Linked DNA regions of Saccharomyces cerevisiae S288C. The gene in region 1 interacts genetically with each later gene. Each region holds a gene or a part of one and is shown in the gene's direction. Other genes may lie near its edges.

The links.
Region 2: of RER1 (region 1) and VPS54, changing one enhances a phenotype caused by changing the other (phenotypic enhancement), as found in Saccharomyces cerevisiae (2 studies listed by BioGRID, with this or other methods).
Region 3: mutations in RER1 (region 1) and UBX3 together harm fitness more than expected from each alone (negative genetic interaction), as found in Saccharomyces cerevisiae (2 studies listed by BioGRID).

The regions. Positions count from the first base shown.
Region 1 is NC_001135.5:109,897-113,018, forward strand, and holds RER1 (protein retrieval receptor), read left to right. Parts: upstream 1-2,019; coding exon 2,020-2,586; downstream 2,587-3,122. Other genes in the region: PGS1 (CDP-diacylglycerol--glycerol-3-phosphate 3-phosphatidyltransferase), read left to right, coding at 1-774; YCL002C (uncharacterized protein), read right to left, coding at 912-1,661, 1,738-1,779. UniProt on the Saccharomyces cerevisiae protein: Involved in the retrieval of endoplasmic reticulum membrane proteins from the early Golgi compartment. Required for correct localization of SEC12, SEC71 and SEC63 in the endoplasmic reticulum.
Region 2 is NC_001136.10:494,149-499,271, reverse strand, and holds VPS54 (Vps54p), read left to right. Parts: upstream 1-1,953; coding exon 1,954-4,623; downstream 4,624-5,123. Other genes in the region: protein phosphatase regulator REG1, read left to right, coding at 1-1,437; NSI1 (Nsi1p), read left to right, coding at 5,004-5,123. UniProt on the Saccharomyces cerevisiae protein: Involved in retrograde transport from early and late endosomes to late Golgi by linking the vesicle through the t-SNARE TGL1 to the Golgi, leading to the membrane fusion between late Golgi and endosomal vesicles.
Region 3 is NC_001136.10:292,892-296,674, reverse strand, and holds UBX3 (clathrin-mediated endocytosis regulator UBX3), read left to right. Parts: upstream 1-1,915; coding exon 1,916-3,283; downstream 3,284-3,783. Other genes in the region: RAM1 (protein farnesyltransferase), read left to right, coding at 346-1,641; RNA-binding signal recognition particle subunit SRP14, read right to left, coding at 3,454-3,783.

The DNA.
Region 1 (3,122 bases):
CTGTTTTTAAGGGAAGCATCTCAATTACTAGATGGCTTTTTAAAGAGTTCTAAACAAAGCCTCCCGATTACTGCCGTGGGTCAATTCTCCACATTAGTTTACCCAATTTCTCAATTCACTCCACTTTTTCCCAAATATAATGACAAATCGACCGAAAAAAGAACAATATTGTCATTGCTTTCCACTATAACAAGCAATGCCATTTCTTGGACGTTCACTGCAGGATACTTCAATATTTTGCCAGACATCAAAGCAAAACTGCTGGCAACGCCGGTTGCTGAGGCAAATGTAATAACAGCTTCCCCCTTTGCAAACGGCTTTTACCAATCAAAGGGCGTCTCATCAAATTTACCTGGTGCTTACTTGTACCTGTCAAAAAAATTTCTACAAGATGTATGTAGGTACAGACAAGATCATGCTATTACATTAAGAGAATGGCAAAGAGGCGTAGTAAATAAGCCGAATGGTTGGTCATATCACGCAAAAGGTATTTGGCTTTCCGCTCGTGATAAAAATGATGCTAACAATTGGAAACCCTTTATCACGGTTATAGGATCTTCAAACTATACGAGAAGGGCGTATTCATTAGATTTGGAATCGAATGCTCTCATTATTACAAGAGATGAAGAGCTAAGAAAAAAAATGAAAGCAGAGTTAGATAATTTATTACAATATACAAAACCTGTAACTCTAGAAGACTTTCAATCAGACCCAGAAAGACATGTTGGCACTGGTGTAAAGATAGCTACCTCCATTTTGGGTAAAAAACTTTAGATTCTATTCTATCATAGTATGTCGCCTGTAAATATGGAAAAATAAAAGAAAAAATAGTAATAATAAATGCATTATCTAAAACTCCTTAAATTTGCAAACATCGCAAAGCCATTAAGGTAGAGAATGAGCTGACCTTGTTATAGTTTTCCTTTTGGCAACCGTGGTTTCCGTCCTACGTAAACATACTGAACTTGACAAAGTATGACCAATAAGGTGACAAATTGTATCAATTTTACCCAAAAGGGCGTTGAATTAAATGGTATCTCGTAAAACAATGCATTGGTCGGTATTACCAGTCTACCTAATAAATCGATAGATTCAGCCAAAAATGATATCAATGCAAACTTTGATGATAAACCTACTGTTGAGCATCCCATCCAGTTTATACTCATTTGAGGCACATACTTGAAACATTTAAGCAGATTTGCCATTACCCACAAATAATTTATGTGTTCCAAATAGAAAACGCCAAATTTACCTGAATTTTTCAACGGTAAATTAGAGATGGAACAGCCATATGTAAATATGCCTAATACAAGGAACACACTTATAATTATTATGGAAGTAATGGAAATGCCCTGATAAATATGTTTAGTTGACCTATAATAGTATAACTGCCTTAAAACCATCATGCAGCAACAGGAAACGCAAAAATCTTTTAGAATGAGGAAACTGGATATAGGTATACTACGGGCATCATTCAACGGATAAAAAAGTGGGAATCTTTGAGACAGTTGTTCCCTCACCAGAGATGAATAACAATAATGCAACGCGCAATACAAGTACAGACCATTACCAACAAAATCTAGCAGAAATAAATCATATGAAAGCCCGTAAATAGATCGATGAAGTTTATTATAGCGCTTTTGACATAGAATGGCGATGATCTATGTAAGAAATGGAAGTTTTCTCCCTTAGTTAGTCAAACCTTTCATGTATACTTTCTCCTTCAATTATGCATACTGATAAAAAACCTGCCAAGCCCTGCAGAACAATAACAAGCATGTGAATGATTCAATATAATTGCTTCGCAGGGCTCCTCAACCTCTCCTCTGGAAAACCTTACCTCAATGAGGTTAAAAATTGTGGGTTTTTCGTTCGCAGAGGAAAAAAAAACTTGTCAAAACACGCCTCTGCAGTAGAACACGAATTATACATAAGAAAAATAACGATACAAGAAAGGCGATTTCGATTTGGGACTAAGTGTTACACGAAAGGCATAGAGTATCAAAAAAAGGAAGCAAGATGGATTACGATAGCTCTGATACAATGAACGGTGGTTCAAGTAACCCCTTAATCACTAAGATGAATACAATGAAATTATTATATCAACACTATTTGGATAAAGTCACTCCTCACGCTAAGGAGAGGTGGGCTGTATTGGGTGGTTTGTTATGTTTGTTTATGGTTCGTATTACAATGGCCGAAGGCTGGTATGTGATTTGTTATGGTCTAGGTCTATTTTTATTGAATCAATTTTTAGCCTTTTTGACCCCAAAATTCGATATGTCCTTACAGCAAGATGAAGAAAACAACGAATTGGAAGCTGGAGAAAAATCAGAAGAATTCCGTCCATTCATCAGAAGATTACCAGAGTTCAAATTCTGGTATAACAGCATTAGAGCCACTGTCATTTCCCTCTTGTTGTCGCTATTTTCAATCTTCGATATTCCAGTATTTTGGCCCATCTTATTGATGTATTTCATATTATTGTTTTTTTTAACTATGAGAAGGCAGATTCAACATATGATAAAATATAGATATATACCCTTAGATATCGGTAAGAAGAAATATTCTCATTCTTCTAACTGATATACCCTGACTCCACATACCTATTCAACGAACACATTCGTATCTTAATTATATGTAAACAAAATTATATGATAGTTACAGAATAATTGTGATTATTTTCTCCTTCTACTCATCTTCTCTTATATTGGAAGAATACATGAAGTTATTGATTAAGCAAAATTGAAGGGAAGAGGCTCATTTTCTTCCATTTATAAATGGAGAGCTTGAGATGCCTCCAATTGATAAATTTTTGTAAAGACTTTCAAGAAACATGTCTAAAAAGAATTGACAGCTTCGAACCTTTCTGCATAATTACTAATACCAAATTAGTGAGAAATGGGGTATGTCGAGGAATAAAGGATGCAAAAGAGAGAGTAATGTCATGCAAGTTGTGAGTTTGAAATGTTCACACGTTTATAATGTCCATACTCCGTGGCGTGCATGTGTTTTAGTGTATTAGTTTTCCAAGTTATTAAAGAACTTAGTAAATTTATCATCGAACGCATTTTGATTAAGTGGCACAATAGACTTCAATGGAAAATGAAAATCATATCTGT
Region 2 (5,123 bases), on another chromosome or scaffold:
ACTAGCGACGATGATACATCCTCACAATCATCATCTTCATCACATTCTGATGATGAAGAACACGGCGGCCTTTACATAAATGCAAGATTTTCCAGGAGGTCTGACTCTGGAGTTCATTCACCAATAACAGATAATTCCTCTGTGGCTTCATCTACTACTTCCAGAGCTCATGTACGTCCCATAATAAAGTTGCTTCCTGATACCACTTTGAATTATGGATCAGACGAAGAATCTGATAATGGCGAATTTAATGGGTATGGTAATGCTGTGTCACATAACGTCAATACCTCCAGAGGCTATGATTACATATACGATTATAACTCGGTCTACACTGGTGATACTTCCAGTTTTTTACCAGTAGATTCATGTGACATTGTAGATGTTCCTGAAGGAATGGACTTACAAACAGCCATTGCAGATGATAATGCATCAAACTATGAATTTAACAATGCGGTAGAATCCAAGGAAAAACATGTTCCACAACTACACAAAGCTTCAGCAAATAATACAACACGTCAACATGGATCGCATATGTTATTATATGACGACGACAATTACAGCTCTTCATCAGATAGCGAACAGCAATTTATTGAAGACTCACAATACAATAGTAGCGACGACGAAGAGGAAGAAGATGACGATGACCAAGAAGTAGACGATAACCACGATGAAGGACTTTCACTGAGGAGAACATTGTCACTTGGGAAATCAGGATCTACCAATTCTTTGTACGATCTAGCACAACCATCACTCTCTTCGGCAACTCCTCAACAAAAAAATCCTACTAATTTTACAGGGGGTAAAACTGATGTAGACAAAGATGCACAACTGGCTGTCAGGCCGTATCCGTTGAAGCGCAATTCCTCTTCAGGGAACTTCATATTCAATTCAGATAGTGAAGAAGAGAGTAGCAGCGAGGAGGAACAAAGACCATTACCCGCTAACAGTCAGCTGGTTAATCGAAGCGTATTGAAAGGCAGTGTGACACCAGCAAACATATCATCTCAGAAGAAAAAAGCCCTTCCAAAGCAGCCAAAAGCGTCCGATAGTTCACAAAGCTTTAGAATTGTAAATAATACTCCTTCACCAGCCGAAGTGGGGGCGAGTGATGTTGCCATAGAGGGTTATTTCTCTCCTAGAAATGAATCTATCAAGTCTGTTGTTTCCGGGGGAAATATGATGGACCATCAAGATCACTCAGAAATGGACACTTTGGCAAAAGGATTTGAAAACTGCCATATAAATAATGCTAGTAAGCTAAAGGACAAGAAAGTTGATAGCGTGCAAACCACTAGAAAAGAAGCGTCTTTGACGGATTCGAGTAATGAAAGCTTACACAAAGTGGTGCAGAATGCAAGAGGTATGGCAAGCAAGTACTTGCACTCTTGGAAAAAGAGTGACGTCAAGCCACAAGAAAATGGAAATGACAGCAGTTAGAAGAAAGAATTTTGAAGTCAACATGAAGAGAAAATAAAAATCCAGGTAGTGTGGATCAGTGCCGTCTTTAGGATCCAAGTAAGCTGTAATCGACTGGCATTGTCAAGGACAAATGTAGACAGCGAAGCAGTTATTTTACGTACACAATTAAATTCGCTCCAGATTTCAAAACTTCTTTATACCTTTACAATATTTGGTACTTATGTACAAGAACTTCTTGAGCTTCCATAGTCGTATGTGTGTTCTATATATTAGCAATTAAACGCAGCTGATCTAAGATATGTTCGTGGGTAATGATTTTCAGATAGAGTACAATCAATGTTTTCTTCGATCTTTAAAGGGTTTTTCCTTTATAAAGAAGACACCACACAACAGTCTAGAAAGTAAACAAAACAAACTACGACACGGCTTGTTTTAGGCACAACTTTGTTTTAGGCAGAGCTTACAGTAATTGGCAGTATTGATATCCTAAAGCAGTATTAAAACAATTTAAAGGTTTGGTGAGGTATCTGGCCAATGTCAATAAGCGAAACACCTCATAATAAAAGCCAGGGACTGCAAAAAGCGGCTGGTCGTCCTAAAATTGTTGTTCCTGAGGGATCGCCTTCTCGTAATAGTGATAGTGGCTCTTTTACTATAGAGGGTGATACTTCCCTTAATGACGACTTGTTAAGTATATCTGGCAGTGTCACACCAAGAGCGAGAAGATCTTCGAGATTAAGTCTGGATTCAATAACGCCGCGAAGAAGTTTTGATTCTAGGACACTATCTGTTGCAAATAGTAGATCATTCGGTTTTGAAAATGAAACACATAGTGGGTCCATGGACTTTTCGCCATTGGGAAATAACTCCATCTATGAAATTGTGATGAACACAAGGAGGAAAAACTGGCTCAATTACCCCACTGTTGCTGATATTCCACAAGTTAGCCTAAGCAAAAATGATCTGGATGACCATTGGAAAACTCATGTTATCGAATACGTCAAAAACATTAAAAGTGATTACCAAATATTTCAAAGCACAAATAATATAAGAAACATGAATCAGATGGAACAGTTAAAAGAACTGCGAGAAGGGGAAAATATGCATGAGGAGTCGTTTGAAGCAAATCTGAGGCAAGGGGATGCCGAGCTAATAAATAGTATACCTGACTTTTACTTTTCAGACAAATTTCAATTAGATAACCCTCGAACTTTTCATAAAGTGTTGGACGCTATCGATTTATTTTTAACGAAACTAGACATGAAGAGACAAGCGGAAAGGGATGAGGCTTTTTCTGAGTTGAGGGACAGGCTAAACGATTTTTTGGATATCGTAGAAACATTACTGGTTACAGAGATATCCAAATCCTCACACAAATTTTTTCATGCGCTAAGTGAAGTTGACAATATTCAGAAAAGAGCCTTGGACACAATGAGCGAGCTTAAGGAGCTAGCACAGAATATCAAGACCATTGACGCAGAGAATATAAGAAAAAAAATTTCACATTTAGAAATGATTTTTAAGAGGAAGAATGTAGAGAAACTAGAACAGGGATTATTACAGGCGAAGTTAGTGCTGAACAAAACAGATGAGTGTAAGTCAATGTATGAGGAGAACAAGTTGGATAACTGCTTAGAGCTGATAAAATCCATCGATTATCTGATTAAGGGGGATGATTCAATAAACGAAGATGTTCAGAGTTGGACTAGGTGTTGGCCCTATAAATTAAGCAATTTGAGGACGATACCTGCTTTGTCAGCAACGAGAGAGTTTTTAACCAATATGAAGATTGAAATAGGAGGAAAGTTCAGCCTACAATTATCGATTTTACTAATAGATGATTTAAGATCCTTTTGCAAATCAATCAAACCAAAGGAAACACTACATAGGATACAAACGGGATCTAATGATAAAAAGCAAACTATATTTACTGATAATTTTTCTTCAAAGATAACCGAATTAATAGTCAGATTGAATAGATGCGAAGAATTAACGAGTGCCTTTGACCTATACAGGGAAAAATCTATCACTGAGCTTAAATCTATCATAAAAATTTATTTGCCAACAGAGAATGCACACGCTGACAATAACCACGATGAAAAACATCTTAACAATGGCTCTACTAGTGGGTCTAAACTTTCAAGATTAATAAAGGAGCAAACTCCTGCAGAATTTCAGTCCATGCTAGTAAACATATTCACGCACGCGCTCGAAGCTCTTCGAAGACTTTATGGGCATCAAAAGTTGCTTCTAGATATCTCTCTTAACGAGCTAGCATCTGTTAAAAGTCCAAACGAAAACCAGCACAACATGATTACGCAATTGGATATACGTACTGGCATCAACGAAATAATCAGAATTATTCAGTTACGTACAGGCAAGATCATTGCCGTAAGAAGAGAATTGAACTTATCTCTACGGTATGATTATTTCTTGAAATTTTATGCTATATGCGTTATTTTTATTCAAGAATGTGAAGTATTAAGTGGTGAATTTTTAACGAAATATTTAAGTAATGTTTTAGCATCTCAGATCAAGCATTATGCAAACGCACAAAGTTCAAAAAATTACCGCAACATAAAGAAAAAGATTGATGCTGAAGAATGGATTCCATATATTGTGGACTCCTCTATTCAGAGCGATGTTAACGACATTGTGTCAAGTATAGACATAGACCCATTGAGTTGGACAACTATTTTAGACATGGTAGGGGGTTCTCATGATTGCGAAAATGGCAGAAGCGAGGACAAGGAAAAAGATGAAGGAAATGAAACATATCAAGGTCATAGGAAATCGGTTGTTGTTGGCGATAAAACTTTTGTGGCCAGTAGTTCTCTGCTCGCTACCATTGAGGTTATTAAGGAGCTAATGGTTCTTTCCATAAACCTTCCCTCGATATACTTATCAAATTTCGAGAAGTTGTGCTATGACGCACTACAATACTACAACAGTAGCGCCATGGCATCTGTCACACAACCTGGAAACTCACTTTTAAAAACGGGTAGAAACTTATCTATCATGGGAGAGTCATTGGACTGTCTCGCAGAATTTGTGATTATTGTTCAGAGATTTTATCAAAGGCTTTCCAACTCTAACAGGGATTTTGAGCCATTCGATGCGAGTCATTATACAACCCTGTTGGGGCAATTCCAGGCCTCATCGAATAAAATATACATGGCCAATGCCCCACCTCCGCCTGTATAAACATGATAAAGAAAAATTAGATTTCAAGCTATGTACCATTATTTACTTTTTAAACTAATGAATCATCGATGTTATATTCTCTAAGAAATTCCGCTTTTTTTTTAGAACATTATCTACGTATTATTTTTCCAAACATGAGCGGTGAAGAAATGATCAAACAATGAAGATCGAGCGAGGTCAGAGCTTTCCAAATGCGATAGGAAAGGACTTTTTCCAGCAGCTATGAAAATGTACTTCAAGTATCTCGTCAGTTGCTTTACAACTCATCTCCTGTAATTTCCAACATAGCATCGTTCACGACACAGTTGGCGCTGAACAAATTTTGTGCATAGAGCAAGCAGCCGTTTCTTGTCTGCGTCAAGAAGAAAGATAAAGGTAGAATGGACAGCGTGTCAAACCTTAAGAGCACAAATTTTCAGAACAATAATGACCCAAAAGAATCTGTAGAAGAAGCAGTGCTAAGGTATGTGGGAGTCGACTTGAAGAATCATATTAAAAAG
Region 3 (3,783 bases), on another chromosome or scaffold:
GGTGTTAACTTCTTCCTTTATATATTGCAGGGCTATTTTTCCCTCCTTTCGCTATTGAAAGAGATCACTATTCCCGTGCTCTGTTCTGATTAAGTAGGAGGACAAAAACACTTGTAACTTAATCCACCTATTCTTATTATTTCTGGCTAACGTTAGAGGTCTTGAAGCGAAACTGTTTAACATTGTAACTTATTAATCTTTTCGTATAAGCTGTTGCCTGATTAGGAAAGCTTGAAACTGAAACACGCGAAAGTGGCTAGGATAAACCAAGCAAGGGTCCATATCATCGCCGTTCTTATGCAGAAACAACTGCAGTGCTTGTAAAGCTATAGGCAATCAAAGCGTATGCGACAGAGAGTAGGAAGGTCCATAGCTAGGGCTAAATTTATAAATACTGCCTTATTAGGAAGAAAGAGACCAGTTATGGAAAGAGTCGTCGATATAGCGCATGTAGATTCAAGTAAAGCAATCCAACCATTGATGAAGGAACTAGAAACCGACACTACAGAAGCACGATACAAAGTACTACAAAGTGTATTAGAGATATACGATGATGAAAAGAATATAGAACCTGCTCTCACGAAAGAGTTTCACAAAATGTACTTGGATGTCGCTTTTGAGATATCGTTACCTCCACAAATGACAGCACTAGATGCTTCACAACCGTGGATGCTATATTGGATTGCTAACTCATTGAAGGTAATGGACAGAGACTGGCTTTCAGATGACACCAAAAGAAAAATTGTAGATAAGCTCTTTACTATTAGTCCTTCAGGAGGACCCTTTGGTGGAGGTCCTGGCCAATTATCTCATTTGGCCAGCACTTATGCTGCAATTAATGCTCTCTCCCTTTGCGATAACATAGATGGATGCTGGGACAGAATTGATCGAAAAGGAATTTACCAATGGCTGATATCGTTGAAAGAGCCTAATGGAGGATTCAAGACCTGTTTAGAAGTCGGAGAAGTGGATACAAGAGGTATATACTGTGCCTTGAGCATAGCAACCTTATTAAATATTCTTACAGAAGAGCTTACAGAAGGTGTGTTAAACTATTTGAAAAATTGTCAAAATTATGAAGGTGGATTCGGCAGTTGTCCTCACGTAGATGAGGCACACGGAGGCTATACTTTCTGTGCTACAGCTAGTCTAGCAATTTTAAGGTCCATGGACCAAATAAATGTTGAAAAGCTTTTAGAATGGTCTAGTGCTCGTCAATTGCAAGAAGAACGAGGATTTTGCGGAAGGAGCAACAAACTTGTTGACGGTTGCTATAGTTTTTGGGTTGGAGGTTCGGCTGCCATTCTTGAAGCTTTTGGATATGGCCAATGCTTCAACAAACATGCTCTTCGGGACTACATATTGTACTGTTGCCAAGAAAAAGAGCAACCTGGTTTGAGAGATAAACCAGGGGCCCACTCAGACTTTTACCATACAAATTATTGCCTATTAGGACTGGCTGTTGCGGAAAGTTCATACAGTTGCACTCCTAATGATTCTCCACATAATATTAAGTGTACTCCAGACCGCCTAATTGGATCATCGAAACTTACTGATGTCAACCCTGTCTATGGTTTACCAATAGAAAATGTAAGAAAAATTATCCACTACTTTAAATCCAATTTATCTTCTCCAAGTTAACCACATACTATTATATATATGTATTCAATCTCCTTAGCGGTCAGTCTCTTTCCAATTTCTTTCTCTTTACGTTATCATTGTCCTTTATTCGACACTTCGGCGACCGCTTTTAAAACGATAATAACAAAGCGAAATCTTATTGTAACACATCCTTGCTTAATTACATACGAAGCAAAAAGTGAGAGTAAGTTCAAAAACAGCGGGCAATCGTACTCCCAAATTTTGTTGTACCTCATCAATCGGCTTGACTGCGATTTAAACATACCCTTTAAACATGGATATATTTAGGCATACTTTTGGAAATAATGATGATTCCTTTATTCGAATCCCAGGTGCTTTTAGAGAAGAACCACCTGCTGATTTGAATGGAAGGACAGAAGATCAAAACAGCAATACAAATGAACCCACACAGAGCCGGGATGGACGCTTAAAATCAATACTCCATTTTTTATTTCAAGCTCCCCTAATAGTTCTTTATTATTTATTGAATTTCATTGTCCGAAGTTCACGTCTTTTAAAACCTCTATTAAGACTTCACGGATTCTACCAGAGGAAGCACAACCGTTTACTAGACCACAGTTCCCAATTACACCGTCTTTTAGAAAATCTAGAAAACGAAGCTCAAGCTGTAACGTGTTCTGAAGGTAACGGGAATAATGATGATGGCAGCAATACTGACAGTACGAGCAACAATGAGAGCAGTGGGGTCCAGTTTAGTTTTGGTTCTTTATACAACCCTGAAAATGGAACATTTTCCAAAAGCATTATGCAAAATAGTTACACTGAATTATTGGATGCTTGTAGCGAACAAGTGAAATTTGGAGTCATTTATTTACATGACCCATTGTTGGATAATCATATGGATTACGTTAATAAAATATTGTGCTCAGAAGCCTTTGTTAACATGATAAGGAAGTACCAGGTATTACTATGGTATGGTGACGTTACTACATCCGAGGGGTTGCAAGTTTCCAATGCATTAAAAATTAGGCAATATCCCCTACTTGGAATAATTTCTTTAAAGGCTGAGAAAAAAATAGAGTTAATAGCAAGAGTTGAAGGTTCTATTTCTAACTACAAAGCCCAAGATTTGGAGGCCATATTCTCCAAGAATTATTCTCGATTAATTCAATTGCGTCAGCAAAGACAAAATATTGAAATGCAGAGATTAATAAGACAACAACAGGATTCAAGATACCAGGATTCCTTAAGACGTGATCAACAAAGAGAATCAGAAAGATTGGAACAGACCCAAAGAGAACAAATGGAAAGAGAGCACCAAAGAATAGAAAACCAATGGCTATTGTGGAGAAAAAGCCAACTAAAACCCGAACCCTCTTCTGATAAAGATGCAAGCAAAGTTGCGATCAGACTAGAAAATGGGCAGAGATTAGTGAGAAAGTTTGACGCATCTCTACCAACGGAGGAGATATATGCCTTCGTAGAATTACAGTTGCATGACATGTTGAACTCAGAAAACGATACTTTACCCGTATACCAACCTGCTAATTATCAGCACCAGTATAGCTTCAAATTGATCACGCCGGTACCAAGAAGAGAGCTTGATTTATCTACCAAAATATCTGACGTTAGCGGCATATATCCATCAGGAAATATTGTAATGGAACGCCTGGACGAATGAAAGGAATTTCAAAAATAGTCATCTCAAAACGTTTATTCTAAAGTTTAGTTAAATTTATATCTACACAACTTTATGCAATTAATCTTTTATATCTACGTTGCCATCCTTTAATCTACACATCCAAAGATAACAAGAGGCGCACATGCCTTTTGACTCAAGTGTCACGTGCATCAGTTTTTCTTCGCTACCTTGTTTTTCTTTCCTGTCTTACTGATGGTACCGTTCTTACTCTTCTTTTTCTTCTTCTTGATCAAATTCTGCATGCCCCCCTTAAATACAGATGAATACTCTTGCCAAAATTGATCTAACTCACTTGCTTTTACCACTGTTGAGCATTTTGTTTTCTTGTCATGCGAGCCATAAGACATTCTGATTAATAGTGGGTATTCTCTGTCAGATCTTGAGCTAACTGAAATTTCAGAAGCCTTTTTAGATACATCATAGTCAGGATGGTTGGTAGAATCAAATTCAAGATTCCCTTCCACAGGATCGTGTTCTAT